Linked DNA regions of Elephas maximus indicus. The protein of the gene in region 4 interacts with the protein of the main gene of each other region in a biochemical or structural test. Links are inferred from orthologs where the notes say so. Each region holds a gene or a part of one and is shown on either strand. Other genes may lie near its edges. The genes, in order: TOP2B, PML, CDKN1A and HDAC1.

Evidence for each region.
Region 1: the proteins of HDAC1 (region 4) and TOP2B form a complex in vitro, tested with the Homo sapiens proteins (2 studies listed by BioGRID). The link is inferred for Elephas maximus indicus from reciprocal best matches to the Homo sapiens genes HDAC1 and TOP2B.
Region 2: the proteins of HDAC1 (region 4) and PML form a complex in vitro, tested with the Homo sapiens proteins (2 studies listed by BioGRID). The link is inferred for Elephas maximus indicus from reciprocal best matches to the Homo sapiens genes HDAC1 and PML.
Region 3: the proteins of HDAC1 (region 4) and CDKN1A form a complex in vitro, tested with the Homo sapiens proteins (2 studies listed by BioGRID). The link is inferred for Elephas maximus indicus from reciprocal best matches to the Homo sapiens genes HDAC1 and CDKN1A.

What each region holds. Positions count from the first base shown.
Region 1 is NC_064845.1:13,895,196-13,902,770, forward strand, and holds the start of TOP2B (DNA topoisomerase 2-beta), read left to right. Parts: upstream 1-4,563; 5' UTR 4,564-4,658; coding exon 4,659-4,712; intron 4,713-7,575. UniProt on the Homo sapiens protein: Key decatenating enzyme that alters DNA topology by binding to two double-stranded DNA molecules, generating a double-stranded break in one of the strands, passing the intact strand through the broken strand, and religating the broken strand.
Region 2 is NC_064831.1:64,098,094-64,105,925, forward strand, and holds the start of PML (protein PML), read left to right. Parts: upstream 1-4,825; 5' UTR 4,826-4,908; exon of another isoform or gene 4,909-5,932; coding exon of another isoform or gene 5,933-6,126; intron 6,127-6,905; coding exon of another isoform or gene 6,906-7,118; intron 7,119-7,751; coding exon of another isoform or gene 7,752-7,832. Other genes in the region: STOML1 (stomatin-like protein 1), read right to left, coding at 5,933-6,126, 6,906-7,118, 7,752-7,832.
Region 3 is NC_064819.1:100,349,570-100,357,369, forward strand, and holds the start of CDKN1A (cyclin-dependent kinase inhibitor 1), read left to right. Parts: upstream 1-4,794; 5' UTR 4,795-4,885; intron 4,886-7,800. UniProt on the Homo sapiens protein: Plays an important role in controlling cell cycle progression and DNA damage-induced G2 arrest. Involved in p53/TP53 mediated inhibition of cellular proliferation in response to DNA damage.
Region 4 is NC_064821.1:73,172,525-73,179,701, reverse strand, and holds the start of HDAC1 (histone deacetylase 1), read right to left. Parts: upstream 3,018-7,177; 5' UTR 2,936-3,017; coding exon 2,887-2,935; intron 1-2,886. UniProt on the Homo sapiens protein: Histone deacetylase that catalyzes the deacetylation of lysine residues on the N-terminal part of the core histones (H2A, H2B, H3 and H4).

The DNA.
Region 1 (7,575 bases), on a different chromosome or scaffold from region 4:
TTTTTCTCCTGTCCATTATGCTCTGTTGCGATCCTTGTTAGAGAAGTCTGTGACGGTAGCCAGGTACCATGTAGTTCTTCTGGGCTCAGGCTGGTGGAGTCTCTGATTCATGTGGTCCTTTAGTCCTCTGGGCTAGTACTTTCCTTGTGTCTTTGGTTTTCTTCATTCTCCTTTGTTCTGGGTTGGATGGGACCAATAGATGTATCTTAGATGGCTGCTCACAAGCTTTTAATATACTGAATGCTACTCACCAAAGTGGGCTGTAGAACATTTTCTTTATGAACTATGTTATGCCAATTGACCTAGATGTCCCCCAGTACTATGGTCCCTGGCCTCCAGCCCCAGCCACTCGGTCCCTCAAAGTGTTTGGATGTATCTAGGAAACTTCTGCGTTTCTGCTTTGGTCCAGTTGTGCAGATTTCCCCTGAATTGTGTGTTGTCTTTCCCTTCACCAAAGCTGTTAAGTAACTTTTAAAAGTGAAAATATACAGTACTTACAAAATATTTGAAGCAATTAAATTAGTCATGAAAAGTCAGTTAAGAATCTACTATTTACCATAGAAACACTGAAAACCAAAAGGTTACAGTGACAATAGCTTTCTTCCCTATTTGAGCTCACTTCTAAAGAAATAAAACAAACTAAAATACATTTACAACATTTAGTAGTCATTATCTGGACAACCATTTATTGAGTTTACTATAGACCAGACATAGCAAATTTCTCTTCTTACCCTAGCAACTTTGTATATATTAAGGATCCATAAAGACTAACACAATGAAAGGGAGGGGTAAAATAGCAGACATTGAATCCTGAATTCAAGTTGTAATTTCTTTAAACACTTCATAGGTTACAGATTACTTACCCTCCCCCCCGCCATACTGAATCTTAATGTTGGAACAATACATAATTTAACTGTAAACTCTATTGAAACTATGTCAGAGACCTAGAAGTACAATTTTGAGTTATTGTCTTCTTAAGCTATTAAGTAACTCACTCTATGTAAAGTGCAATGTGGAAAGTATATATTCATTAAATAGCAAATAAATGAATATAAAATTGCTTTCAGACCCAGAAGACTAGTTTAAAAACATATAACTCGGGGTGTGAGCTTAAGGCAGAGACTACATCTTTATCACCTTTTTGAATCCCTAGGTCCTGAATGCCTAACACACAGTCAGCATTAAGAACCAATCTTGATTGATTGCTGCGCTGGGTAAACATGAGACCTAAAAATTCTTAGGAAGAAAGACCTGGCAATCTACTTCTGAAAAATCAGCTACCGAAAATTCCATAGAGCACAATTCTACTCTAATATACATGGGATTGTCATGAGTTGGAGGCCCCTTTACGGCAGGCAACTGGTGGTAGTGGCAGGAAGATAAACTCTCATGGTAGATACTCAGAGAGCTTGGTTAAATAAAGGCCTTTATTTTTACAGTTTATAGAACTGACTTTGAGTTCTACAATTATGCATTTTGGCTGGTGCTTGCTATGAGGTGGAAATTAAGTCTTTAAATGAAATGTATTTAAAAAAAAACCCTAACAAAAGAGTGGTAACCAAACAAGACAAACCTGATATAGAAGCTTTTTAATGTGGCAATTATTGCTAGTTACTCTGTAAAGGAAAATCGCTTGACAGTACCCCAGAAGGGAAAGCTGAGCTCAAGTTGGGTATACTCAATTTTATCCTTAAGATAGACGTGTTAAGTCTGCAGCAAACAGTTAAAAAGACCAACAGCCCTTTGGGAATTGAGATACTTTTGATCCAGGTAACTTCTTTCACATATCAAGTAATCTTTGCTTTAAAATGCAATTTGCACGTGTAGTCAATAATCTTTTTATTTGCGATTTTTTTACATCAGTGTTTTCCATAGAATAAAACAAAAAACATTTACTAGAGGCTTTTTTTTTTTTCTTCAATACTTAGAAGGCTAAAGGGCTCCATAACACCTCACCTAGGAGGCAAGTGAAAAGATAAACATTATTTTCATTAACTAGCTTATTTGACTTTTGGGTGTTCTTGTTTTAGTCATTTCCAACTCTGAAGCTACAGAGCTTTGAAAATGGAAGTTTTAAGAAGGAGAGAGCTGTAGTATTATATACCTTGGCATCTTCTTATCGTGGATATCTTTCTTTCTTTTTTTTTTTTAAGCCACAGCCTTTAAAATTATTTACCCTTTTTCAAACATAAGATATATGTATACTTTGGAGATGTAAAGCCACATTAAGTACAAGAGTAAAAATCTTGGTTTTAATGAGGAACAAACAAGGTCTTAAATAACATGGCCTTAAATACCAAGGCCATGGTTACTTAGCTGGTTAGGTTCAGAGCCCAGATTAAACCCTGGTCTGTCTGACTTTCAAGTTTGCACCCCATGTTCAAGGTAAAGAAAGGCGTCAGTGTCTGAACCAAAGTCCTCAATGTGCCAAAGTGAATGGCCACCAGAGAGCTAATTAAGAAAAACTATGTTGAAATTATTTCCATGTTTCAGAGTTTCCCACCTCTAGACTCAGAAGGCAGTTGAAAGATGTGACCCTAGACATTTTTGTTTTCCCTTGAGAGGAAACACACAATTGGGAGGGAAGTTCACAAAAACACCTTTTCATAAAAGCAGTAATACTGTTTTCATCTTTTGAAAAACCTCACTTGACACAACTCTTTGGCAGCACTCCATGCCCTCAAGTACCCATTCTGGTGTTTTCTTAGGTATTGCCTTGAGATAGTTAGCTCTTTTTAGTCCGTCTCTTCAGCCAGGTTATAAATGGCCTGAAATACCACAAAAACCCTTGTGGTGGAGTCAATTCCAACTCATAGCAACCGTGTAGGACAGAGTAGAACTGTCCTACCGGGTTTCTAAACCTGTAATCTTTATAAAAGGAGACTACCACATCTTTCTTCTGGAGTGGTGGAGGGCTGGTGGATTCTGACCACCGACTTCTCAGCAGAGCAACCTAGCGCTTAACCCTGTGCCACCAGGGCTCCTTGGCTGGAAATCAGGGGCTCTGTTTTTATGTCGAACTCATCGCAGAGCCTGGCACAGTGTGGCAGAGTGTGCGCCCAATAAATACTTGTAGAATGGAAGGCGGGGTGAATTTCAGTAAAGCCATCTTCCATCTGCCAAAGACTTGGGTGCGACTGTATGGGTAGATTTTCATTCCTAGAAAGCTTTAACCTGAATGAAATCATTCCTTGGTGTGCATCTGAAAATTTCACAGGAAAGGAGTTTAATAAGCGTGCCCTCCTAGAGGTAGCTGGCACAGCTTCTAGGTAGAAAAGTGACAGGGACTTCTCTGCATTGTTCACTGCAGAGAGAGAGGTCAACAAAGAGTAGACCCAGAACACGCACCCCACCCTGCATTCTTTCCCTGGAACGTGCTCTGTGAGTTCTGAAACATTCAAGTTCTTTAAAGGCAGTTTTCTTGAGACTGACCGTGTCCCCTTTTGGGGGGAGGGGAGGGGGGAGGGGACGGAGGTGGAGGAGGGGCGGGATTCATTCGACAGCAGCGTCCATTTGGGACCTTGGGGAGGCCGCATCAGGGGGACCCTCTTTGCTCCAGTGGTCTACAACGCTCTAGCCTGCGGTTTACAACCGCTCTTTAAAAATACTTTCCCTCTGGGACGGCCCCCGACTTCTTCCTGCCCGTCCTCCCTCCCCCAGCCGCCCCGGGCCAAGGAACGCCTCGTCTTCGCGGGCAGGTCTTTGAGTGAACGACACGGTCGAAGGATTACAGTCGCCCCGAGTCCAAGTCGACCCTTTGGCTCTGTCGCCCTCCAATGACCCCTGACAGCGGCCCCTGTTCCCCCTCAAACGGAAAGCCCGCAGCCACACACACAAACAAAAAACCCTAAGTCTGCCTCTCGGTTGCTACCCGCAATGACGTTTCCCTCTCGGGTCCCGCCCCTCCGCGGGCCTGGAATTTCGGGATTGGCCGAGAGGCAGGGCGGCGAGGCCCGGATTGGGCGGCCGGGCGCTGAGTGACAGCGGGGGCGGCCGCTGCGGCCGGCGCGCCTTCCCTTCCTCCCTCCCGGCTGCGCGAGCGACTGTGTGTGAGGGGTGTTATGCCGGACGCGAGGGAGGCGGCCGTGGCGGCGGCGGTGGCGGTGGCGGCGGCGGCTCTGTTTATTGTCCCCGTCGGCGGGTGGATGTGAGGAAGCCGGGGCTGCAGCGCGGCCGACGCGGGCAGCCTGTGAGGCGCGGCGGCGGCGGCAGCGAGCGCGAGCCCCGAGCCGCCGGCCTCCGGGGAGCGTGAGGAAGGACAAGGAGCCTCCGTCCCCGCCACGTCCGAACGCGCCCCTCGGGCCCCTCGGCTGGCTGCGGCGCCCGCGAGCGAGCGAGCGACGACGACGACGCGGAGGAGCAGGCAGCGCTGCCGCCCCGCCGCCCCGGCCTCCTGCGCTTCCTCTTCCTCAGCCGCCGCGCTAGGCCCAGGCGACGCGGCCACCGCGCCTCGAGTTTGAGGGCGGCGGGCGGCGCGGCCTCCTCGGCGGCTCGGCCGGGCGTCCGCCCCGGGTCTCGGCGATGGGGCGCGGGGGCCGGCGCGGCTAGGAGCGCGGCGGGGAGCCGAGCGGTCGGTGCGGAGCAGCGGGGCGCGGCGGCCGGCGGGGCGGAGGGAGCGGCGGCCGCGGCCTCGGGGCCTGGGAGCCGGAGCACCCGCCATGGCCAAGACGGGCGGCGGCGCGGGAGCGGGCGACGGGGCGCTGAGCTGGGTGGTGAGTAGCGGGCGGCGCCGGGGCGCCAGCTGGGTGCGCTGAGCTGGGTGGCGTCGGGGCGCCGGGTCCTTGGCGGGCGCCGGGGCGGGGGTGGGGGGCGGGGAGCTGGCGGGCCCCGAACTCGCGCCCCGCGGGCGCAGCCCGCCCCTTTCCTTTCTTCTCTCTCCTCCCTGCCTCCATGGAGGCTCAGGCGCTGGGAGCCTACTGTGCACTTGCAACTTTGGGGGCCAGACCGTGGACGTGACCTGGGGCCCCGCTCCCCCCTTTTTCCCTCTCCCCCCGAGCCTTCCTGGGCAGTCGGCTGTGAGTGCACGGGGAGGGCGACAGTGCTGTGTGTCCCTGTGGTCAGCATTTTCCCCGAACGTGGTGCACGAAAATCCCGGGGAAAGGGGTGTGCGCGCGCCTGGATGCTCAGTGCAGCCGTGCCTGCAGCGCTCGTCTCTCTCGGAAGAATGGTTTTGGCGGGGCAGCAGTTTACACCTGGATTGGGAAAGCCTGTTTGAATGGAAAGCGCACTGGGGATTGCAGTCTCTCAGCAGTGGCTGGACGGTAGATGGTCCAGTGTCAGGCTGGGATTATGAACGGAAGCGCTCACCTGGGTCAGCAGCGCAGGTGAAACGGGTGGGGGCTGCACGGCGTGTGCTGGGAGGTGACTGAAGGGGCTGAGCCCTGGAGGGAAAGGATTTCGGCGCCGAGGTCCTGCTGGGGAGTCCAGGTAGCGGAGGGAAGACCTGGAGAGGCCCGATTCCCACGGCAGATCGATAATTCGCTAGCATTTCACTTGCTCGGCCCTGAGTTCAGGCCAGGGTCATTTCCTACACGGAAAACCTAGCTCAGCCAGCGGACTAGGTGCCTAGCAAGGGGTGGGGCTGGGGGTGAGGGGGAGGACACGTTACAGTACTCAGATTTTTGAAGCCCACCTCCTTTTTTAAACAACCCAGGGAAACTTTTCTATTGGCATTTTTGTTATTTTCTTCATTTTCCCTTTACTTGGGTGAGGTTTAGGCGAGTTGACTGGCAGCTGTTCCTTTTTGACAAGTGTGTCGGTTCTTTGTAACTCTGTTGCTCTCTGTTACTCATAGCAGAGAAAACATTTTAACCATTTTTGTTGGAGTGCCAAGGTGCCTTGCAAAATAACTTGCCAGGCTTATTGTCCATCTTTAGATTACTCCAATAATGTAGTATGAATGGACGAGCTAAGAGGGATAAAATGTCAGATAATTAATTAGTGGTCCGTGTGGACGTGGCCACGGCGGAGCGAGGAGAGGGACTGCGTAAGTGCAGAAGAATGATTTTAAATATTGATGGCCCTTACTGAAATCAAATAACATCTGAAAATGGAGGTAGCCAGATGGCATTGTGAGTTCTCATTACTATTTGGAAGTGTTAAGGCCTGATCAGTGTTTCCTCTGAGGCTCTCTGATTCTGTATTGGTAAATATTTTGCTCCGAGATCACATTGTTTGGCTTTAACATCTGGTATTAGTATTTTAATTTACTGTGATTTAACTTTGCAGATGAGTAAATGACCACGTTTTCTTTCAAGCTCAATAGGAATCTTTCATTTAGTGAAATAAGAAATTTAGTGAAACTTGGAGGGTCTCATTCAACATTAAAAAATTTCATTTGAAACTAAAATTGATTCATTGATAAAAGAAATAGATACATGCTTATTTTTATGTTCGTATTTCTGTTTTTTATAAATTATGAAAATATCTTGAAAACGAATTATTTTTAAGTCAGGGTATTCAGGTTCAGAATATCTTCTGTGTGGACAGCTCAGTGGTTAAAACCATGAAAAAAATTAACTTTTAAAAAATATAGATGTATTTGTTACCATTGGCTACTTTTAAGTGAAACTAAGTGTCTGAACTTGTATTAAAACTCATGATTGGTGTTCATATGATCTTGTAATCTGCTGTGGTTATCTTAATTTTTTTATATTGAATTTCTAATTTGCTGGAAAGGTAGAGAAGTCTGTTTTATATGGTTCAGTTACATGGCAACAACAATAAAGTATTAATAGAACTATTGCATATTAGTAAATTAATAGACTTGAAGATACTGTTGTTTTTAGTGTTAAGACTAGAACTTGAGATGCATTTTTTATTTTCTGTGACTAAGATTGGCTATTTGCCAATCTTGTATTCTATTGAACTTCTAAAATTCTATTTTCAAAAGATCTGTTGAATAACTTTTATTTTTTGGAGAACAAGGAAAGCATTTCTCTTTTGACCAAGTTCTGTAAAAAACCCAAATTATTTGTAGAAACATCAAGGACTAGGGTACATATGAAAAATTTTTTTCCTGGAGGTTTACCCCATGCCCATTTCTACTGAATCAAAGTTTAAACATAAGTATATAGTTCTGTTTTAGCAGGATTAAAAGATGGAATTTTGATGGTTATGCTAAATAGTTGATAAGGCAAGGAAAAAAATAATTTAATTTTGATCTAATAAAGAATAACTTTTAGCTCTAATCCCTTCCATATTTTGTTTGGATTTTGGAAGTATAAAATATTACTAAAAAGTTAAACATTTCAGACTTTAGTCATCTTTTTGACATTGGGAGGTAAATCTTGGCTTTATTCCTATGTGGTATTTCTTTTTATTATAAAACTAATTATGGGTAATATGAGAAATAATGTAAAACGAAAGAAGTACAAGTCATATAATCTTTTATTTATATTTTCTTCATATTGAATTAGAAGTTTAAAAAAAAGTCACTACTACAAGTTCACTTTAAGATTTGATGTTTCCTTTAAATCTGTAAAGTCAGATTATATGAACATCTTTATATCCATATATACATCATTGATCATAGACTGGTTTAATTTTTTGGGAGGCAATGTAGTGAGGTAGTTA
Region 2 (7,832 bases), on a different chromosome or scaffold from region 4:
CTTCCACGAAGGGATTTGCTGTGAGTAGCCAATCAGTTGGAAGGGAGTTTCCCTTGGGGTGTAGCCTGCATCCAATATAGGCGGAATTTCCGGCAAGGCTTTCGGGTTTTTGCTTACTCTGGATCCTGCAGCTGGCACCTGTTCATCTGACCTTCAGTTCTTGGGATTTGAGCTAGCAGCCGATCTACCGCTCTTGGGTTCACCAGCCCCTGCAGCTATATGAGTCAGGAGAAGACTTCAGCCTGACGCATGAACTTAGGATTTCCCAAACTCTACAGCTGCATGAGCCACTTCCTTGATATGAATCTCTCTCTCTCTCTCTGTATGTATATGTATGCATGTACAGATAGAAATATATACATATATATATATATACGTTGTTGCGGTTGTTAGGTGCCGTTGAGTAGGATCCAACCCATAGCGGCCACATGCACAACAGAATGAAACACCGCCAGGTCCTGCACCATCCTTAAAATCATTGTTATGCTTGAGCTCATTGTTGCAGCCACTGTGTCAATCCACCTCGTTGAGGATCTGCCTCTTTTCTGCTGACCCTGTACTTTGCTAAGCATGACGTCCTTTGTCAAGGACTGATCCCTCCTGGCAACACGTCCAAAGTATGGAAGATGCAGTCTCGCCATCCTTGCTTCTAAGGAGCATTCTGGTTGTACTGCTTCCAAGACAGATTTGTTCATTCTTTTGGCCGTCCACAGTATATTCAATATTCTTTGCCAACACCACAGTTCAAAGGTGTCAATTCTTCTTCAGTCTTCCTTATTCACTGTCCAGCTTTCACATGCATATGATGCGATTGAAAATACCATGGCATGGATTGGGGCACCTTGGTCTTCAAAGTGACATCTTTGCTTTTCAACACTTTAAAGAGGCCCTTTGCAGCAGGTTTACCCAATGCAATGCGTCTTTTGATTTTTTGACTGCTGCTTCCATGGCTGTTGATTGTGGATCCAAGTAAAATGAAATCCTTGAAAACTTCAATCTTTTCTCCATTTATCATGATGTTGCTCATTGGTCCAGTTGTGAGGATTTTTGTTTTCTTTATATGTTGAGGTGCAATCCATACTGAAGGCTGTGGTCTTTGATCTTCATTAGTAAGTGCTTCAAGTCCTCTTCACTTTCAGCAAGCAAGGTTGTGTCACCTGCATAACGCAGGTTGTTAATGAGTCTTCCTCCAATCCTGCTGCCCCGTTCTTCATATAGTCCAGCTTCTTGGATTATTTGCTCAGCATACGGATCGAATAGGCATGGTGAAAGGATACAACCCTGATGTATACCTTTCCTGACTTTAAACCCATCAGTATCCCCTTGTTCTGTCCAAACAACTGCCTCCTGATCTATGTAAAGGTTCCTCATGAGCACAATTAAGTGTTCTGGAATTCCCATTCTTCGCAATGTTATCTATAATTTGTTATGAACCACACAGTCAAATGCCTTTACATAGTCAATAAAACACAGGTAAACATCCTTCTGGTATTCTCTGCTTTCAGCCAGGATCCATCTGACATCAGCAATGATATCCCTGGTTCCACGTCCTCTTCTGAAACTGGCCTGAATTTCTGGCAGTTCCCTGTCGATATACTGCTACAGCGGTTTTTGAATGATCTTCAGCAAAATTTTCCTTGCGTATGATATTGTTCTATAATTTCCACATTCAGTTGGATCACCTTTCTTGGGAATAGGCATAAATATGGGTCTCTTCCAGTCAGTGGCACAGCGGTTAAGCGTTTGGCTGCTACACAAAAAAAAGGTCAACAGTTTGAATCTGCTAGCTGCTCCTTGCAATCCCTATGGGGCAGTTCTGCTCTGTCCTACAGGGGATCGACTCGAAGGCAATGGGTTTAGTTTTGGTCTAAATATCTCTTGGCATAGACGAGTGAGCACCTCCAGCGCTACATCCATTTGTTGAAACATCTCAATTGATATTCCGTCAATTCCTGGAGCCTTGTTTTCTGCCAATGCCTTCAGAGTCCCTTGGACTTCTTCCTTCAGTACCATCAGTTCCTGATCATATGCCACCTCTTGAAATGGTTGAACATCGACGAATTCTTTTTGGTATGAGTCTGTGTATTCCTTCCATCTTCTTTTGATGCTTCCTGCGTCGTTTAATATTTTCCCCATAGAATCCTTCATTATTGCAACTCAAGGTTTGAATTTTTTCTTCAGCTCTTTTAGCTCGAGAAACACCGAGAGTGTCCTTCCCTTTTGGTTTTCTATCTCCAGTTCTTTGCACGTCATTTTAATACTTTACTTTTCTTGCGCCACCATTTGAAATCTTCTGTTCAGTTTACTTCATCATTTCTTCCTTATACTTACATATACAGAGTGTTATGGATTGAAATGTATCCCCAAAAAATGTGTGTCAACTTGGCTATGCCATGTTTCCCAGTATTGTGCGACCGTCCAACATTTTGTGAGCTGATGTGATTTTCCTATGTGTTGTAAATCCTGCCTCTATGGTGTTGAGACAGGATTAGAGGCAGTTATGTTAATTCGGCAGGACTCAATCTATAAGATTAGGTTGTGTCTTAAATCGGCCTCTCTTGAGATATAAAAGAGAGAAGTGTGCAGAGAGACAAGGAGACCTCATACCACCTAGAAACAAGAGCCAGGAGAACAGTGTGTCGTTTGGACCTGGGGTCCCTGTGCTGAGAAGCTCCTAGACTAGGGGAAGACTGATGACAAGAACCTTCCTCCAGGGCCAGCAGTGTGAGAAAGCCATCCCCTGGAGCTGGCATCCTGAATTTGGACTTCTAGCCTCCTAGATTGCGAAAGAATAAATTTCTCTGTTAAAGCCATCTACTTGTGGTATTTGTGTTATAGCAGCACTAGATAACTAAGACAGAGAGAAGCGCTTCACTCGTTTAGCATTTCCAAAGAACCCAGCCTAAGACAATGGATTAAAAAAAAAAAAAAAAACTTCTCGGAGAATAACAAAGAAGCTAATAGCAGGGGGTACTTGTTTGGAGGAAGGTGTGCGAAGTGTCTGGATGGGGTCAGGAACGTGAGAAATCATTTTCTTTGTGCCTTTTTAATCTTTAAAAAATTTTTGAGCCATGTGAATGTATTAGCTATTTAAAAATTAAATAATTATTTTAAAATAACACCAAACCAACAAAAAAACCCAGTGCCGTCGAGTTGATTCCGACTCATAGCGACCCTAGAGGACAGAGTAAAGCTGCCCCATAGAGTTTCCAAAAAAACACCAATATTAATATATATTAACACATCAACATAGCATAAACATTTTAAAAGTACTATTCACCAGGTTGTCTTGAGGAAAAAAAATAATATATAGGCAATGTTGAGTCCAATACAGTGACACATACAACACCCGATAATGGCCACTATTTTTGTCCCCTCCCAAAATCCCTGCCCACATCCCTCTCATACTTTAGGTTCCAGTTCCCCAAATTGAAAGTGCCCACGTGCCTCTTCCGCCTGTACCCTTGCAGGGGCCTTCCCCTCTGGCCGACTATCTTTCCCCTCCTCTTCTCTCATGGCCCACTTAGCCTCAAGTCTCAGGCATCACCTCCTCCAGGAAGACTCCTGTGATTGACATAACCCTCATGCTCCCTTCCTCCATGGCAGTCCTCACCCTTTGTGGACTCCAAGGTTTGCTTAATCCTCCATAGCCCAGGGTCCTTGAGCCTATGCACTCCTTTCCCCTGTAGTGTTGCCCTGGCCAAGAAATGAACTCTCTCCCACACCCTCCTCACCCCATGTTGGCTGGGTAGGTCCTGTCCTCTACCCACACCAAACCAAAACTAAACCCATTGCCTTCGAGTCGATCCCCTGTAGGACAGAGCAGAACTGCCCCATAGGGATTGCAAGGAGCAGCTAGCAGATTCAAACTGTTGACCTTTTTTTTGTGTAGCAGCCAAACGCTTAACCGCTGTGCCACCACCCACACAAATATCCAGAAAAGTTTCAGTTTCCCCTAAATGTTACGTTGCTCTTCTCAAACCCACAGAGAAACTCAGCAGTTTCAGTTTCTCCTAGGTTTTGATCTCATCATTCCTGTCTCCCCTGGCTCAGCCTGGAGGGGTAAGTGCTATCTTCTGGCAAAGGCACGGCAAAGGCACGGCTGTCCTGGTGAGGATCTGCGGGGCTTCCTGTTAACGCTGTGCCTGCTGTGTGCAATAGGGATGACGGAATACATGAATCGCTCACTCGCGCAGTTCATGGTCCCTCAGGCAAGGCAGGCAAACATTAGGAACACCTAGGGACCAAGCACTGCCATCCCCACGGGGCCTCAAGGGGCATGGGAGTGTGGCTGCTGGGGATTGGAGGGAAGACTTAGTCCCAGCTGAAAGGGGCCAGTAAGGGTTAGAGGGCACAGACAACCCCAGCTGGAAAGTTTCAGGGCCCGGAAACACCTGTAGATGTTCCAGGCTTGGGGAGAGGGCGCCCTAGAGCTAAAGCCTGAATCCCCATGGCCGTGAGGTCTGCGCTGGGCCTTAGGGAGGTGCCTCAGGCACTGTGGAGACACACAGGAGGAGGGAAAACGCAGTGCCAGGCAATGGCTGGAGCAGAGGGGCAAGCTGGACCAGCCTGACCTGGACAAAGAGGGAGCACGCCCTGGGAGGGCCAGGCCTGATTCCAGAGGACAAGCTGAGCTTGTTCCTCAAAGGAGACACTCATTTAGCTCTGATTTTTGTCTGTTTTTTTCCGTAACACTCTCCAGGAAGTAAGCTTCATTTCTCAGGACTAGAGAAGTCGGAGGCCCATCTCTGGGGCCTCTGGGGCTGGGGCACTGAAGAGAAACCCACTGGGCCCCTGGGGCCAGGCCTCAACGTCTATCTGTGTGCACCCCTTCAGCCAGTGGAGAAACAAGCAGTGACCCTGGGTGGCCCAGGAGAGGATGATTGCAGCCCAGCCCCTCTCCTTAAGGTGATGAGCCCCCCGCCCTACCCCTCATTAGGTCCAGGTGTTTGGGGGCCCAGTTTTGACCTGCCCATGCCCCTCTCTCCTAGTAAACCTGTACCTCCACCATAAAGAGGGATAACAGAGTGACCCCCTGTCCCACCCTCCTGCCTGTGGGAGGAGTCAACACTTGGAGTCACTCAGCAAAGAAGGGCACAGCAGGGGTATCTGGACCCCCGTGGCCCTGGCCCAGCAGTAGGGGCATTGCCTCATGGACCCTCCTAGGCTACTCCCACTACATCCAGTCTCCACTCCTTCTCTCTTCTGATTGTAAACACATTTATTTCTTTTGGAGGTTTTCAGGCCTCTGGCTAGAAGCACGGGAACAGCAGGGCTTCCCTTCATGCTGCCCTGGGTCCCGGCCCATCACGCATGCAAGACGGCCGGTACATGAATCAGGTTATCCTCAGGAGCAGGGCCAGGGGAGGAGCAGGCCCTGCTCTCTCCCATCCCCACCCTCCAACTAGCCTGGGCCTGGGCTGCACCCAGGAAGGCGGGCCCAGCCCGGATCCCCAGGTGCCTCCGCTGTAGTGAGTGCTTCTCGGTGGCTGCCTGGCTTCTCCCTCCCCCAACCCTTTCTGCACCCCTCCTTCTGAGCTCCCCCAGCATTCCGAGCCGGAGCCACACAGTCTGGCCCCTCGCTCAAGGCTAAAGCAGCTGCTGCCAGGCTGTTTCTGTGGTCCTGGCTTCCCAGCCAGGTAGGCAGCAGAGCAGGGCAGGCCCATCCACACTATGTACCCAGCTCAGGGGATGGGCAAAGGCTTGTCCAGGGAACCAGTGTTGCAGGCAAGAAGGGCAAAACAGCCTGGTTTGGCCTCTCTCGGCCTCCGCTGTCTGCCAGCCTCTGTCCATTGGCCCCAGCTGGGCCTGAAATGCCAGAGAGCCTCAATTCTCCAAGGTGCATCAACAGTGCTGCCTCCTCCTCCAAGAGGCCTTCCTGGCTTGGCACCAAGCTCGAGGCTGGGCTACAGGTGGTCAGCTGAGGCTGCTGCTACTTCAGGGCCCTGAGGACAGCCTCCAGCTTCATGGCCACGGCCAGGTCACCCTTCACCTTCAGCCGCCCGCTCATGTAGGCCCCCAGGGGCCGTAGCTCCCTACAAAGCAGGGCCCGCAGGTCCGCCTCGGTCATCTCCACCAGCACGTCAGGGATGCCATCAGGCACCCCACGTCCCACTCTCCCTCGCCCTGTTGGGGAAAGAAAACGGAGTGTTAGTGGGGTGATTACCGGGATGGGGGAGGGGTGCTGCTGAATTCCCCTGCTGACCTATTCTGTAAAATGGATCTTATCCGCAATACAAAAAGCCTTCCCTCCATCTGTTTCAGAACTGCTGGACTGCAGGGTTATCACGTCCTACCGGGAGAGGGGAAACCCTGGTGCCAAAGATGTTAAGTGCTACGGCTGCTAACCAAAGGCTCGGCAGTTCGAATCTGCCAGGCGCTCCTTAGAAACTCTAGGGGGCAGTTCTACTCTGTCCTATAGGGTCGCTACGAGTCGGAATTGACTTGACAGCACTGGGTTTGGTTTTTGTTTTGGACTGGGAGAGGTGGAAAGCAGTGGTTGGAGTTGAGGTGCTAACACCCTGGGTTTCAGTCCTATTGGCTGTGTGGCCGCTCAGAGCCTCAGTTTCCTGATCTGTGAAACGGGGATGATAGCAATCCCTAAATCATAGAATCAGGTGCAATAACACACAAGAAGTGCTTCACACAGTGCCTGCGACACAGTAGGGCCACAACACACGCAGGCTCTTGGTGTGGGACGCCTGGCCCTCTGAGCTGTACTGCCAATGGTGGGGGGCCGAGCCTGGACAATCATTGTCGGAAAATGGCATCTGAGCCCCAGACTGCCATTTGAGTTCACCCGAAACTGCTGGCAGGAGTAGGAGACAGTCTGAAAGAGGACCACTGGGGGTGGGGGGACCTACAAGCAACCTGGGTAGGAAAGAAGGGCAGGCAGGCTGTCGCACCTGTGGTGAGGTCCAGGAAGTAAATGTTCTGGGTGCCACTGGGCATGATGACATTGAACTGGTAGCAGGCTCCGACCTGGCTGACCAAGGCCTCAGACAGGAAGGGCTGCAGAGCAGTCAGCAGCTCCTCAGCCACAGGCTGCTTCAGGCTGGGCCCAGCGCTGACACTGGGGGCAGGCAGCTCAACTTCACTCACCATCTCCAAGGTGTCTGCTGGGGAGGGAGGCAGAGAGGAGGGAGCAAAGGTCAGTGTGCTGCCAAGGCCAGGGCACTGTGGCCTCAGTACCTGTGTGCGGCAGTTCCCCTCATAGCCCTTTCAGGCCTCTATCAACTTCCTTCTCCGCTAAGAAGCACCCCCTGGGTTCCAGCCCTAATCCCCCAGCCAGCTCAACCTACTCCAGCTTTGAGTATAAGACTCGTTTCCCAGCTTCCCTCTGGGCCCTGTTGCCTCCCTCCCATGGGGGTTCCCAAAGGCCTCCACACTCCCAGACACCTGGACTCTACTCACTGCCTTAGCTCTGGTCAGCTCTAGCATCAGGGCTGCTTGAACAGCTGTGCAGGGTGTGCCCTGCACAAGTGTGCCTGGTTAAGGAAGAACGTGGCCAAGTGCAGCCTGAGCTGTGCTCTGCTTGCCAAGCTGAGTGCTCTGGTGCAGGGCCCCATATGCCCAAACTAGATGCCTTTTTCTGTCTCCATCAAAGGTGCTGTATGAGCTAGAGAAGCCCTGGCTAGCACCAACCTCCCACAAAACACCCTTCTCCCCACAAAAAGTCTCCATTTCCTCTCTCAGCCCAGGTACATGAAGAGCGGCCTCCTCTCCCCTACCATCCTCGCAGGGCTCCTCACCTGGCCCCGGGGGCAGGGCACCTCCTGCCACTGAGGACATGCCTCCTCCCAGGAAGTGAAGGGCCAGCTGCTGGAGGGTGC
Region 3 (7,800 bases), on a different chromosome or scaffold from region 4:
CAAAACTGAATCCGTTGCCATTGAATCGATTCCAACTCACAGCAACCCTATAGGACAGAGTAGAACTGCCCCATTGTGTATCCAAGGAGCGCCTAGTGAATTTGAACTGCTGACCTTTTGGTTAGCAGCCATAGCACTTAACCACTAAGCCATCAGGGTTTCCGGGAATGGTGCAGTGGGAGTTTTTTTTTTAAATGAATGAATGAATAGATGGATGACTATTAAAGAGAGGGCTCAGAAACAGGGGCACTGAAGCCTCACCTCAGAGTGTAGGCCAAAAATGGCCGTTGCATAAATATTCACTGAGTTCCAAGCTGAGGCTGCTAGGCCTAGAAGGTACAAAGATGAATAAAATATGAGCTCATACCCCCACCCCCAGGTTCCCAGCTCAGAGGATGCACTCAGCACGAAGACCAAGCATGCCAGCACAGCGTAGTTGAGAGGCTTGCACCCCAAGAGCGTTGGAAGCCAAAGGGAGCCCTAGAAGACCTCACCCCCAAGGGGCATGTGGGTTGGATCATGAAGGATCAGAAGGAGTTCAACAGGCAGAGAAAGGAGTGGAGGTGAGGTAGACTGGTCAGGGAAACCCATACCAGGAAGAGAGAACACTATGATCAAAGAGACAGAGGGGCCCTTTGCTCCTCAGGTGGCCTCTGTCCATAGCATTTCCTTGCCTCTTTCTAGTCCCTAAAGGAACTCTGGTGGTTACAGCGCTTGGCCGCTAACTGAAAGGTCAGCAGTTTGAACCCGCCAGCTTCTCCGTGGGAGAAAGATGTGGCAGTCTGCTTCTGTAAAGATTACAGCCTTGGAAACACTGTGGGGCAGTTCTACTCTGTCCTATAGGGTCACTATGAGTTGGAATCGACTTAGCGGCAACAGGTTAGTCCCTAAATGGTTAAGTCATTCACATTGTGCTGTGCCACCCAGAACCCCTGAAGGACCTGGTCTGGAGTGTTGGCTGTTAATACAACTGAGTCCTTCTTCAGGAATTGGCCTCAGATAAGGGAGTTCCCTTGCCACCCCTCTGTCCCCACAAGCCACTGGTCACAGTAGCCCCCTTGCTTCAATTCAGCAACTCTGCAGAACCACCCTAGTTCTGGAGCTTCCAGCGGGATCAGCCTTCACCACAGCCCAATTCCTCCTTCTGCTGGATCCTGTTTCCTTTACACCCTCATAGGTGTTGATCCTGAATGCACTTTCCAATAAACCTCCTGCATGAAAATCTCTGCTCAGAGTGTGTTTTCTGGGACACATACCAAAGACACTCACAAAAGTGCAAATGATTACTAAACTCCAAGGGATGCCTTCTCTCAGAGTGTTTGTCCTATAGCAGTAATCATAATTAAAATTTGTGAGGTGATTTCACTATGCTGAGCACTTTTCCTATACGATCTTATTTAACAAAGAACCAAATCTAAGTCAAAGGAATTAATTTCTAATGGCGAAATTTCAGGCTTTGGCTAGTAAGCTAGGGAGACTAGAAGTATTTGTATGGCACAAATTCTGTCACAATTTCTGTGCCTCTCTGTATGGTCAGCCCTGACCCTTGTGCTGGTTGCATAAAGCCCCCAATCAGGTGAGGGTGGGGGCTCCCAATCTCATTCTTCTTAAAAAAAAAAAAAAAGCAGGGCTTACTTATTCTGCTTGGTGGTGTAATATCTCTGCTCTGCTTCTTCTCTGGGGTCTCGCTTCTTGGGACTCTGTGTGGAGCTGAATTCCTCTGAAAGCTGGCTGTCCCTGTTTTGGGACTCCCCAGACCTCTTCTGAGAAATGGTGACATTATCCCCAGCACTTCCTCTCCTTTCCTGGGTAGCTCCTGCAGCCACCATGGGGCCCTCCTCACATCCTCTTTCCTCAGGCCTGTGCTTTCCACCTTTCCCTTCCATTATCTGGAGCCTGCTGGGTGGGGATGTGGGGTTGGCCTAGACCCTCCTGTCTTCTAGGCTGAGACTCCTTCCATCCCTAAGCTGCTTGCCTCCTGGGGAGCATGCCTGGGCAGCAGGCAGTGGCCCCCATCGGCCCTCTGGCCCTTAGGGACATGTCCCAACAAGTTGAGCCATGGCATAGAAGAGGCTGGTGGCTGCTCTCTATTTTGGGGTGGGGAGGGTGTGGTAGGAGATGGGGAACCCCCAGAGACCCCAGAGAGATCTTGGCCTTCTTGGTCAGAGTCTTCCTTCAGGGGCCTGAGTTTCACTGAACAAAAAATGTGGTTTGCAGTACACTCCAGAGAGATCTTGGCCTCCTTGGGTCAGAGTCTTCCCTCAGGAGCCTGAGTTCCTTGGAACAGAAAATTTGGTTTGCAGTAGATTTCTTGGGATTGGTCTGGGAACTGGCACAGCTGTGTGTGTGTGTGTGTGTGTGTGTGTGTGTGTGCGCGCGCATGCATGCATGCAAGGTGAGAATCAGCTCTTGTGACCTCTAACAACCTGCTCCTTTGCCCTCTTCAAGACAGAAATCCTCCCTTGAAGGATGTGCCTGGCTACATGCTGCAAACATTTTTTTTTTTTTTTTTTTTAACGTACCTAGTGCTAGACACTTAGTAGGTGCTTACTAAATATTTGCTGAATCCCATTATGGTGGTGGTGGGGAGCTAGAAGCTATTAAAAAATTCACTTCCCAATAACAACAACAAAAAGAATTATTTCATTGTGAATCTCAGTACCACAAAACTGTAAATAATTCAATATAAGCCTTCATTAAAAAAAAAAAAAATTCCAAAGTAAACAGACAGATAATGTCAAGTCTATCTGAAATGCCCGAAAGCTGGGGGGATTCAAGGCAGCTGGGGAATGTGCTTGTCCTCTATTGGACATTTGACAACCCAGCACTTGAGTGGTGTAGGTGGAAGGGAGGTGGGGGCAGGTGCTGGGGGGTGGCGGCCCTGGGACCTCAACTTCTCTGGGACCCTCCTGAGGTCCAGCGACAATTCTGGCCTGACTTGAGGTCCAGGCAGAGTTAGGGGTCTGGGGCAGCACCCTCCCACTTCTACAGGGGCTCCCATCCCAACACTAGAGGAAGAAGCCTGTTCCCTGAGGTCAGCTGCTTTAGAGGAAGAAGACTGGGCATGTCTGGGCAGAGATTTCCAGACACTCAACAGCCCGAGATGTCAGTAATTACAGCCCTTCCAAGAGCCTGGATTCTATTTTTTAATGGGATTTCTCTTCAGATTTACACTCCATTCTCTGCAATATTAAAAAAAAAATTTTTTTTTTTTGTGGTAAATAATAGGTAACGTTTGCCATTTCAGCAGTCTTCACATGTACCGTTCAGTGACACGTTCATCATGTTTTATAATTTTTTTTAAAGCACAAACTGCAAATGCATCAGGGGAAGGAAAGAGGCAAAGGTGGGGTGCAAGGGGGGCTAAGGTGTGAGGGTGAGTGGGAATGGCTGGACATCTCACGTGGCTCTGTATCTGTCAGAAACACCAGCGGACACTTCCAGAATTGTCTGGCTTTAATGTTACCTCAGTAAGCTGCCTGCAAATGAGGGGTCCTGCAGAGTCCCTCCCCCCACCCCCCATTCTAGAGTCACCGAAGCAGAGAAGGCAGCAGGCAGAAGCATGGCAGGAGGTAAAAAACCTGAGTTCCAGCCCTGCCATAGCCATTTATTTATTGTGTGACCTGAGTTAAATCACTTAGATTCTCTGGGCAACAATTTCCCCCACAGGAAATGTGAAGTGTGTGTGGGAATATCCAGGAGATAAATCACCAAATCCTTCTCCCCTTCTTTTTCTTTTTTTGATTTGGTAGTTGTGGCTAAGAATATACACCGCAAAACATATACCAATTCAACCACTTCTACACGTACAATTCAGGGACACTGATGACGGACTTTGAGTTGTGCAGCCACTCTCACCCTCCATTTCTGAGTTGTTCCCCCATTAACATAAACTCACTGCCCTCTAAGGTTCCTATTGAATCTTTCCAGTTGCTGCTGTCACTTTGATCCCATATAGGTACTTCTTAAAAGTGTGTAATGACCTTCTGCCCTTCTTAAACATCAAGTCTGCTGTAATCAGTGGTTTCTTCTGTTGAGGTGAGAAGCTGGGAGAGGAACAGGCGGGGAGGTTGGTTCCATTTTCCGATTTCCTGGAAACCGTGCTGGTCCTTCTGAAGTGTCCCCAGTTCCCTCTTTCTCTGAGGCACTTGACAAGCGCCAGCTCTGTACCCCTTAGGTTTACTGGGCCTGTTTCCTCATCTTGAAATAAAGCAGATCGAATTCTGTTCTGGCCTCAAGGATGCTTGTTAGGGTGTCTGGTTGCCCCAGCGTGCATCAAGGAGAGGTGGTCTAGTGAGAGCTCTGTGGGAATTGTGGTGGGATAGTGAGGCTTTTCTGGGAATTGCAAAGTGAGGTACATAATTTTTATTATTTATGGAATATTATTTATTAATGCCATTCCTTGTGATCTTTTCAGCTGTGATGGGTAAGTCCTTGCCTGGAGTCCGCCAGCGGGGGGCCAGGAAGAGGGAGGGGGGGTCCTCCTAACTACGCCGTCCTGGTCCTGCGAAGCGCCCACTCACTCTTCAACTGGAAAAAGCCGGGTTTGTGGCTCAATTCGTGGAGAAATGTGTAAAGCGCGCAAGCCCAGGAGCGACGGGACGCGCCTCCTGCAGCTCCCGAGGTTCCGAGACCTACAGTTGTCCCAGGGCCTGGAACCCCGCCCAGACTCGGGCGCGGAGCCGCCCGGGCCCCCGGGGAGGGCGGTCCCCGGCGCGGTGGGCCGAGCGGCGGGTCCCGCCTCCCGAGGCGTGCCTGAGCCGTGGCTATATATCAAGGCTGCGCCAGGCAGCACCAGCTGAGGTGTGAGCGGCTGTTGGAGTCAGTGGCTTGGACACCCGGAGCCGGGCGCGGATTCGCAGAGACAGCGAGCCACTCAGACGAGGTGAGGGAGCCGCGACAGACAAGAGCAGACCCTGGGCCGGCAACTCTGAGCTGAGTGTGTCTGCGTGTGTGTCCGGATGTGTCCGTGTGTGTGTGCTGCGTCTACAGTTGTTTCTGCGGCAGGTGAATGACAGGCGTGTGTCTGTGCGCTGGGCTTTGCGCGCACGAGTGTCTGTAAGTGCGTGTGACGGGGGTCGGGATGTATTGGGGCCTCAAGGCGGGAGGGAGGGCACCAGTACTGGGGATCCTCTGCCCGCTCTCTTCTCCCTGAAACTCTCCTGGAGCTAGGAAAGGCGTGGGTGGGGCCGTCCTCGGAGCTTGCGGCTGTAGGGTAGCCCCCCTGACCCCCCGTGCCGCTTGGCTCTCGTCGTGGTCCGGAGGCCCCGGCCGCCGCAGGCCGTAGGGGGACGCCGGGGGAGCGCTGAGCAGGTTAAAGTGGGCTCCGCCCCGGGGCCGCTCTCTGGCTTTCGGACCCAATTCGTGCCGCCAGGACCCAGGCCCGTGAGGTCCAGATCCCCGACGCCGCCGTGCCCGACACCCCTTTGGCGCTGAGGTCAGCGCGGGCTGTGTCCCCGGCCCTCGGGAATGTGCCAGGACACGTCCCTTAAGAACAAGAGAGGAGGTGACTCACGGTGACAAGGAGACCCCGGGGAGCGGGCCGGGTAAGATCAAAACCCCGCCCGGGCGGGGGGCGGGCGCCCCAGAAGCCTTCCGCCCCTCCGCAGTCTCAGTCCCCCATCAACACAGTGACCTACTTGGCTGGCACAGCGTGTTCCCGGGGAAGCCGGGGCACTGGAAGGTCCAGGACCTGGGGTCCGGCTCCTGCCGCGCGGCGCGGGTTCTCCGTGGGAGAAGCGCAGGGGTCTCATCTACCCTTTTCGCACCGCCGTCGGGAGAACCCCGCCCAGCCTGTCCTCGGGTTGGGACGCTGGACTCCGGAGCTGGAGCCGGAGCTGAGCCCACTCCAGGGTGGGCGGTGGGAGGGGGCGCATCTTTGCGGAGTGGGAGGTGGGAGGGGGCGCGTCTTTGCGAGATGGGGCTTCCGAGGGTTCAGATGCTGTCCAAGGCCTGTGTCTTTCGGGACTCGGATCCAGGGACTCGAGGCGCCCCCGGCATAGCCCCAAACTCCCTCTCCGAGGGCCAAAGAATTGAGCGGGGCAGAAGGGCGAATCGCGCTCGGGCGCAGCCACCCAGGGCGGACCACGGACCACTGGCACCATCAGAGTCACTTGGGGAGCTGTCTTGGGCGCCCGGTGGACCCTTGCACCCTTCTCGTGCGGAAAAGTATCTTGTTACTCGGTTTGGTACTTTGGGGCACCGGGGCAGCTCCCTCCCTGTCTCCCTCCCTCCACGTAGCGATTCGGGGAGGACTTTCGAGCGGTTTTATTTTCGTTGTTCCCGTCTATTTTTATTTTCCAGGGATCTGACTCATCCCGTGCTTTGGGCGTGGAGATAAGGTGGAGGGCCAGATCTTGGCGCGCCTGTGCGTGCGTGCGTGCGTGTGTGTGTATGTGTGTGACAGAGACGGCGCGAGAACGCGCGGTTTCCCAACAGCGGCGGGGGTTTCGGAAGCCGGGCCCGCTTAGAGTGACGTGTTCGCGGCCCCCGGCCCCTCCCTCGCAGTCTCCTCCTTCCCTACGCCAGGGTGACGCGCAGCAGGAGTGGAAGGGGGGTTTTGGCTGGCGGGAGCGCTTTGCAGGAAACTGACTCATCACAATTTGTCCCTCTCGCTGTCTAAGGCTCTGCCCACGCACCTCCCACCCTGCGCGTGATTTCCTGGAGATCAGCGCCCCCTCCCGGCCTTGTCTGGAATAGCAAACATCCCTTCCAACGGAATCAGGCTTCGCCCGCCTTTCCTTCCCGCCGCTACCCCTGGGCTGCTCCAACCTTGTTCTCCCCATACCGCCACTTAAAAAGAGTACCCCATTGGTTCAACAGTATTTACTGAGCGTTTACTATTTACCTGGGGATTAAAATATGGCTGAAGTGTCACACTAGGGTTTGGTCTAAGACACGCAGCCCAACGAGGGAAGCTCTTCTTCTTTGTAAAACGAGGGTTTGTGTTTTTTTCTGAGCTGGGAGTTATGATACTGGGCGTGAAAGCAGATTTTAATGGGGAAGGAGAGGCCCATAAGAGCCATCAGGCAACGAATGGTAGAAGGGGAGAGGGATCCTGCGGGACCCATCTTCAGCTCCTAGAAGCCGGGGAATATCCAGCTCACCGTAAAGCGGGCTCCTCCTCCTTGTGCCATTGGGTCGTGGAGACCCAGAATCCCCACTCCAGCCTTTCTGTGCGCCTCGCTGTCACCCCAGGGGAGCCCATCAGACCCTCTTGGGGAGCTGCACCAAACACTTGCTTGAATCCAGTCTGGATTAAGATGGTCTAGGGAAGGAGCACCACCAATGTGTGCTTTGAGAAAGCCCTCCAGGTAAGCCTGCTGGACATACCTGGTTAAGAAACTTCAAAACTGGAGAAGGAGCAGGGTGTAGGGGCTGAGAGCATAGAACTCAGGGCAGACACGCCTGGATTCAAATCTACTTGTATCCATTGTAACCCTGGGTATATTACTTAACCTCTCTGAGCCTTGGTTCCCTTTTCTGTGTAAAGGAGCTAATATATACGCATGTGCTCGGAGGATTAATATTTGTAAAGTGCTTAGACCAGTCCCTGGCACATAAAAATATATAAATAAATCTCACCCCCTGCCCTGAAGAGAGCCAACAAAGATTATTCGATGGATTTGCCCACGGCACCGTTGCCCCCTTTGTGGGACAGAGGCCCTTTCCTTTTTAACTGTGTGATTTCGGAATAAGTTTCATAGCCTTTTGAGCACCTGCCCTTTACACCCTCCCCAGTGAGCTGAGACTTAAAGTTGTTTCTCCCTGTTCATTGTGAGAGGTGGGGGGTGGGGTAGA
Region 4 (7,177 bases):
ATCAAGAGTATTGAGATCATAAAATCCTACAAACGGAAATAGCTCCAGCCTCAAGAGGGCCTCACCACTGCACAGTGATCTAGATTTATTTCCCTAACTCCCTCTTTCACGACAGCTAATCTCTCTCTTCAAGATTCCTACTCCAGCAGCTGTCCTCCCTCACTCTCAGGAAAGAGAATATTCTCTTCATCTAAGAACGCTCTCAACATTTTCCCTACCTTCTCCTCTTTAAATTTACCTACGTTTAAACTTTTCCTTGCCCCTCACCCTCTTGTCACAAAGGAACTTCCTCTTGAAGGCTCCCGTTTCCATCTTACCTGATCTCATCAGGAACCTCCATCACCACTAGCCACCAGCCTTTCTCTCCTATATCTTAAACCTCTCCCTACCGCCTGGCTTGTTTTAGAATTTGAACACGCTCAACTCCCAGCCACTACAACTCCCCTTTATCAACAACTGTCTCTCCTTGCTCCCTTAAAAAGGATTTAAAAATCCTTAAAAAGGATTTAACTTGATGTCTCCTCTTCACACATCCATTCACTCCTCAATTTACTACAATCTAGCTTCTGCCCTAGCCCCTGCCCAGAAACAGTTCTTGCCAACAACTGACTACTCCCTCTCTCCTTTCGTTTCTGTAACCCAGCACTTCCTGGTTCACGTACCTCCCTGGTCACTCCCTCTGTGTCTTTATTAATTTATGCAACAAATATTTATTGAAAGCCTACTATAAGCTACATGCTGCTTGTTTGTTTTAATATATTATATGAGAGCCTTCACAACTAGGGGGTTGGGGATACAGAGGTAGGCAAGGCATAACCCCTTTCCTTAAAAGGCTTACTGTCCGTAAGAAATATGAACAAGTTAACGGGCAATTTCAGTACACCGTGACAAGGACTATGACAGAGAAGTACAGAGCATGAGGGGCATTAGACTTCCCAAATATTCCTTTTCCTCTGAATTCCACCCTGGATCCTCTTTTCACCCTATACAACTTCTTGGGTGACTTCATTCTCTCCCATGAGCAAAATTACCATCTATGTATGCTGACAACTAAATAAACTATCTTATCATCCCTCTCTTCTAAACTGCAGATTAAAATGGTCAACTGCCTACTAGACATCCCTCTTTGGATGTCTCCAGGTATCTTAACAGATGTTGCTAAAAAAAAAAAAGTATCAACTGACATGGCCTTCTCCCACACCCACCATCAGGTTGCACAAGCTAGAAATTTGGGATCCTTGTTTTCTTCCTCATCCCTGTTGTTGTTGTTGTTGCTGTGAGGTGCTATCAAATCAATTTCAACTCACAGCGACCCCATGGGACAGAGCTGAACATAGGGTTTCCTTGACTGTAATCTTTACAGAAACAGTTCACGAGGTCTTTCTCCTACCAAGCCCCTACATTCATAAATTTAATTTATGCCCCAGAGCGATATTTCTAAGGCATAAATCTGATAGAATTTCAATGAATAAAACTTCAATCGCTCACAAATGCCCTCAGATTTAAGTCTAACTTCCTTGGGATAGCATGCCTGGCCCCTCGTGATCTGATCCCCATTTACTCCCCCAGCCTCCTCACTTGCAACCCTTCCCCCATTCCTGCTCCCTACCTTCTACATTCTGCCCCCAACTCTATGCCTCAGCCTTATATACATATATCTGTTATTTTCAAAGGTGCTGTCCTCTCTCTAAGGAGTCCTGGTGGCACAGTGGTGAAGTGCTCAGCTGCTAACTGAAAGGTCAGCAGTGCAAACTCACCAGCTGCTCCACGGCAGAGACATGTGGCAGTCTGCTTCCATAAAGATTACAGCCTTGGAAACCCTGTGGGGCAGTTCTACTCTGTCCTAGAGGGTCACTATGAGTTGGAATCAACTCAATGCCAATGGTTTTTTTTTTGGGGGGGGGGTCCTCTCTAGACCCTAAACTTGCTGTAATCTTTGCTTTCCCTGTGCTTGGCTAACTCCTGTTCTTCAGGTTCTGAGACAGCACCTCCTTCCCTGACTCCCCAGGCTGGGTTGGATGTCTCTTTTCTGCTCAACTCTGAGTTTTCCTTTATCCCAACAGTAATACTGGAGAGTAATTCTCTGTCATTGTCTATCCTTCCCTCTAGATTGTGAGCTGAAGATGGGAAGTGTGACTTGATCATCCCCATGGCGCCAGGACCTAAACGCTACCTAGTAGAGAGTAAGTCATTGACACATTTTTGTTAAAAGAAAAAGTTCGTTTTAACAGGTTGCATCCTTCTCCTTCCAACCCCGGGGGCCCCAACTCCCAGCAGCAATTGCAAGCCCTGTTCAGAGACTGGGGAGAGAGGAAGCTGGTGACCACTAGTTGGCGATTCTCTCAGGACTCTCACTGAAAAGGATGAATAAGGGACAGGGAAAGACCTGTGTATTCTCAGCAGGAATATATGTCCTTTCAACCTTCTCCATCAGACTACCTCCCCCCTCAGACTCAGCCTCCCCTCTAAAAGTACCACCCAAACCCAAACTCTACATCAGACTTCTTCAGAATCCTCCCAAGACTACCTCAGTCCTCGCCCAAACAACTCCCTCTGGCCTCAGCCTCCTCCCTCTGCCTCGACCTCCTTTCCCCTCTCAGCTTCCTCCCTCAGTTTTACCCGCCTTCCTCTCAGTCTCCTCCTTCAGCCTCGACCTCCTCTTCTCCTCAGCCTCATCCTCCTTCCTTTATCTGCCTCCTCTCTCAGCCTCCACCTTTTCCTGGCTCCTTCAGCCTCCTCCCTCAGTCGCGACCTCATTCGTCTCAACCTCCTCACTCAGCCTCTCCTCAACGCCTCAGCCTTCTCTCAGAGCTCCTCGACCTAAGCCTCCTTCTCCCGGGTTCGGCCCGGCCCAGGCCCCGCCCCCGCCGCGAGGACAGTGCTCACCGTCGTAGTAGTAACAGACTTTCCTCTTGGTGCCCTGAGTCTGCGCCATCTTGCTCGCCTCCCGTCCCTCCCGTCAGTCGGTCCGTCTGCCCTCCCGCCCGCGGCTCCGCGCAGCGTCCGACCCAGGGGGGAGAGGGCGGGCCTCCAGCCCGCTCCGCCCGTCCCCTCCCGGGCTCACCTATAGCCGCGCAGCCCGGGCACCTCTCCAGCCAATCAGCTTGAGCAGGGACGGGCCCGGAACTCGGCAGGGGGCAAGGGCAGCCCTGAGAGGCAGCCGAGGGCCCCCTGGGCCTGTACCAAGGTCGCGACAGGGGGTGGGGGAAACTGCCCGGGGACCGTACCATTAGTCCCGGGGGAGGAAAACAGATCTGTAAACTTCGCTGTCCCATTTCGTCGTTGGAAGAGTGCTTGGAGATCAGAGGCCAATTTTGTAATTTTACAGAGAATAAAATGAGGCCTATAGAGGAAAGAAGAAGTACAGCCAGAATGCTCCTTAGAAGCGAGGATGGCTAGACTTGTCTCACGTACTTTGGACATGTTATCAGGAGGGCCCAGTCCCTGGAGAAGGACGTCGTGCTTGGTAAAGTAAAGGGTCAAGAAAAAGAGGAAGACCCTCAATGAGATGGATTGACACAGTGACTGCAACAATGGGCTCAAACAGAACGAGTGTGAAGTTAGGGAGTGTGAGGTTAGCGCAGGACCGGGCAGTGTTTCCTTCTGTCGCTATGAGCTGGAACCAACTCTATGACACCTAACAACAACACAGAGGAAAAGTGATTTGCCTAAGGTCACCTACTAAGGAAGGGGCTGCACCTGAATTAGGACGCAAGTTTAGAGGAGAGAGAAATAAAATGACAAACTGTCAAGGGCTTGCTGGAGACCAAGTACTGTGCAATAGCTTTACCACACTCTTCTCAGTTATTCCTCATAATAGTTTTGGAAGCGGGCTTTTCATCCCCATTTTACAGATAAAGATAATGAAGTTCAGACCTCTGTGAACTGCTGAGTCACATGATTAATTGTTAAATTTAATTTTCACTTTTACAGAATTTTTGACTACCCACTGTATGCCAGAGGCTTTGTAACAAAGCGGCAGAAACCTCGCTGGTGCATCGCCCGGGAGGATTAAGGAGTATCTTCACATGGGGTCACCCTGGAGCAGAATCCACTTGAGGGCTACTAGTTTGTTTTTTTGGTTTTGTTGTTGTTGTTGTTAGGTGCCATTCAGTCAGTTCGGACTCATAGCGACCATACAGGACAGAGTAGAACTGCCCCGTAGGGTTTCCAAGGAGCGGCTGGTGGAGTCAAACTGCTGACGTTCTGGTTAACAGCTGAGCTCTTAACCACTATGCCACCAGGGCTCCCTAATGTTTTTTTGGCTTTAGGCAGGAGTAACCTGTATTGCCCTGTTCCCTAGATTAGAGTTTCTCAACCTTGGAGGTATTGGGGCCAGGTAATTCTTAGTTTTGGGGGGCTGTCCTGTGCATTGCATTGTAGGACATTTAGCAGCATCCCTGCCCTCTACCCATTAGATGCCAGTAACATCCTCCACCCCCCGGTTAGGACAACTAAAAATGTCTGCAGACATTGCCAAATGTCCCTGGGGCAGGGAAAGCTCAAACCACCCACCATACTCCCCTTGAGAAGGACTGCACTAGATCAATTCATCATCAACTGGCCATTGTTGAAACTGAAAGAGTGAAAAGCACTGTGCTGAGCTATGAAGATAACGACTACAACAACATTAATATTTAATGAGCGCTTACTATGTACCAAGCATTATACTAAGTAGGTAGCTTACCCTTAGTATTACAGTCAATAGGATACATTTTTATGCCTCTTTACAGATCAAGGAGTGTTTGGGGACATGTGTTCTCACTTAGGAACTGCGTTTGAACCATTAATTATAAAGGTTACAGGCGATCTAAGACTGGACCTTTCATTCTATTATAAAAATAACAATGAACTAGGGAACAAACTCTATTCCGGGGTCTGCGTTGCTACTTCTTAGCTGTTCTTGGGTGGGTTTACTTAACCTTACTGGACCTCCATTTTCCTGTTGAAAAATGGGGAGGATAAGAATACAAAGTTCACCAACTCTGTGGCGGTACACAGTGTCCAAAACAGGAGGAGGGTGGGAATCAGATGAGATTATGGGTGTGGCAGCACTTTATAAACAGGGGTCACAAACTCAGATGTCTACAGAGCTCAAATGTTGTTGTTTGGTGCCATTGAGTTGATTTCTACTCGTAGCAACCCCATGTGACAGAGTAGAACTGCACCTTAGGGTTTTCTAGAGTGCAATGTTTACAGGAGCAGATTGCCAGGTCTTTCTACAGCACAGCAGCTGGGTGGATTCGAACCCCCAACCTTAGCAGCTGAGTGCTTAACCCTTGTACCACCAGAGATCAGGTAGGTGATGTAAATGAGTGAAATTTATGTTTTTTTTACTGAGATGCTCTTTGTTTGCATGTTTTAAAAATTGGGCCATTTTTCATTTTTGTAAAGAAATATGCCTTTCTCCTACCTTTCTTTAAACACACTGCCATCTTGGGGTATCTTTAATTTTCTCACTTTTTAATGGAGATGTGGATACCAAAAAAAATTAGTTTTCCTGTTTATTATAAGAACAATGATGTTAAACACTTATTAACACTCAATTTCATTGTCTCAGAGCAAAAGGGAGGGAGAGCTCATACCCCACTTAAACGGGGCAGCCGCTACTTAGCTCCATGAGGGCCCAAAACGGTCAACTCTTCCTATCTTTCAAAAGAAAGCAGAAATCTGAAGTTTTATTCAAAACCTCCCCAGTTTTATACATTGGCTGTTAATGCAGTCAGTTCTCAATACAGTGGTAAGAGACATCCTTTTAAAATGTGATGTTGCTGTTGAGTCAAGATTCCGACTCATAGTGACCCCATGTAACAGAGTAGAACTGCCCCATAGGGTTTTCTAGGCTGTAATCTTAAGGGAAGCAGATCGCCAGGACTTTCTCCCAGAGAATAGGTGTTTGGGTTGAAACCACCAACCGTTTGGCTAGCAGCCCCACTTTTAACCGTTGTACCACTAGGGCTCCTTTTTAAAATGTAAGTCAGATCATATCATAGCTCTGCACAAATCTTTGCAAAGGCTTCTCAAAATGGCTCCTGCAAAGGGCACAAGGCCGAGGTCCTAGGATTTAATTCCCTCTCTCTGGCCACCATTACCGCTCTGAACATGCCAGGCAAACTCCTGCCTCAGACTATTCCCTCAGCTCCTTCAAATCTTTGCTCAAATGTCATCTTCTCAATGAGGCCTTCCCTGACCACCTTCTTTAAAATGGCAAACTTTTCCCCAAACATGGCATTCCTAATCCCCTTTGCTCTGCTCTGTTTTTCCCCTAGCACCTTGTAGCATATGATATAATTTATTTATGATGTTTATTGTTTATTGTCTGTCTTCCCTTACTAGAATGTAAGTTCACAAAGGCAGAGATTTGCGTGTGAGTTTTATCAACTGTATATCCTATGAGCCTAGAACAGTAGACGGTTAATACATATTTGTTAAATAAATTAACTAATTCAATTTTTAAAAACATCCTGAAGGTAAATCAAAACATATTCAAGGCCAGATGCAGCCCTTGAATTACTGGCTGTAAAAAAATGCAATTGCCCTTATACAGTGGGAGGGAGGGGATCCAATGACGCACTGGAGGCAATTCCAGGTGGGGATTGAACTGAATCCATGGGGGTAGAGGTGAGGTGTACTGTTCCATTTGAAGGGATTGGGAGAGCCCATACAGCAAAGTGTAGGCACGTCCCCTTGGCCCCCAGCATCACCAGGACTGGAAAAAAGTTCAGATGTTCCCTCAGGGTGTAACCAATTCAGGGTGATCCAGTTTCCCTCTTCTGAATCCCCACTCCACACCCCAAGGACGAGGAGATGGGAGTGGGGAACAGAGACATGTACCACATTCATCAACAAACAGACATTTATTGAGCTCCTGATGTGTGCTAGGCACCAAGGAGGAGCATAGAGAGGTATCAGACAAGGTCCCAGCCCTCTAGGAGTTCTTGCTCACCAGGGGAAAGAAGAGGGAGTGGGGCCAGAAGCTGGTGTCAGTCACGGGCCTCTGTCCTTTCTCTTGTGGTCTCAGAAAGTAGGACAGCCCAGAAAGGGACACCTTGGACAGGTGCCCAAAACATAAAGGCACAGGCCACACATGTACAAGACACATGTGAAGAGCCCACACAAGTACAGGACACATGCACAAAACACAAAATGTGTACGTGTTACATGTGACAGGATTCAT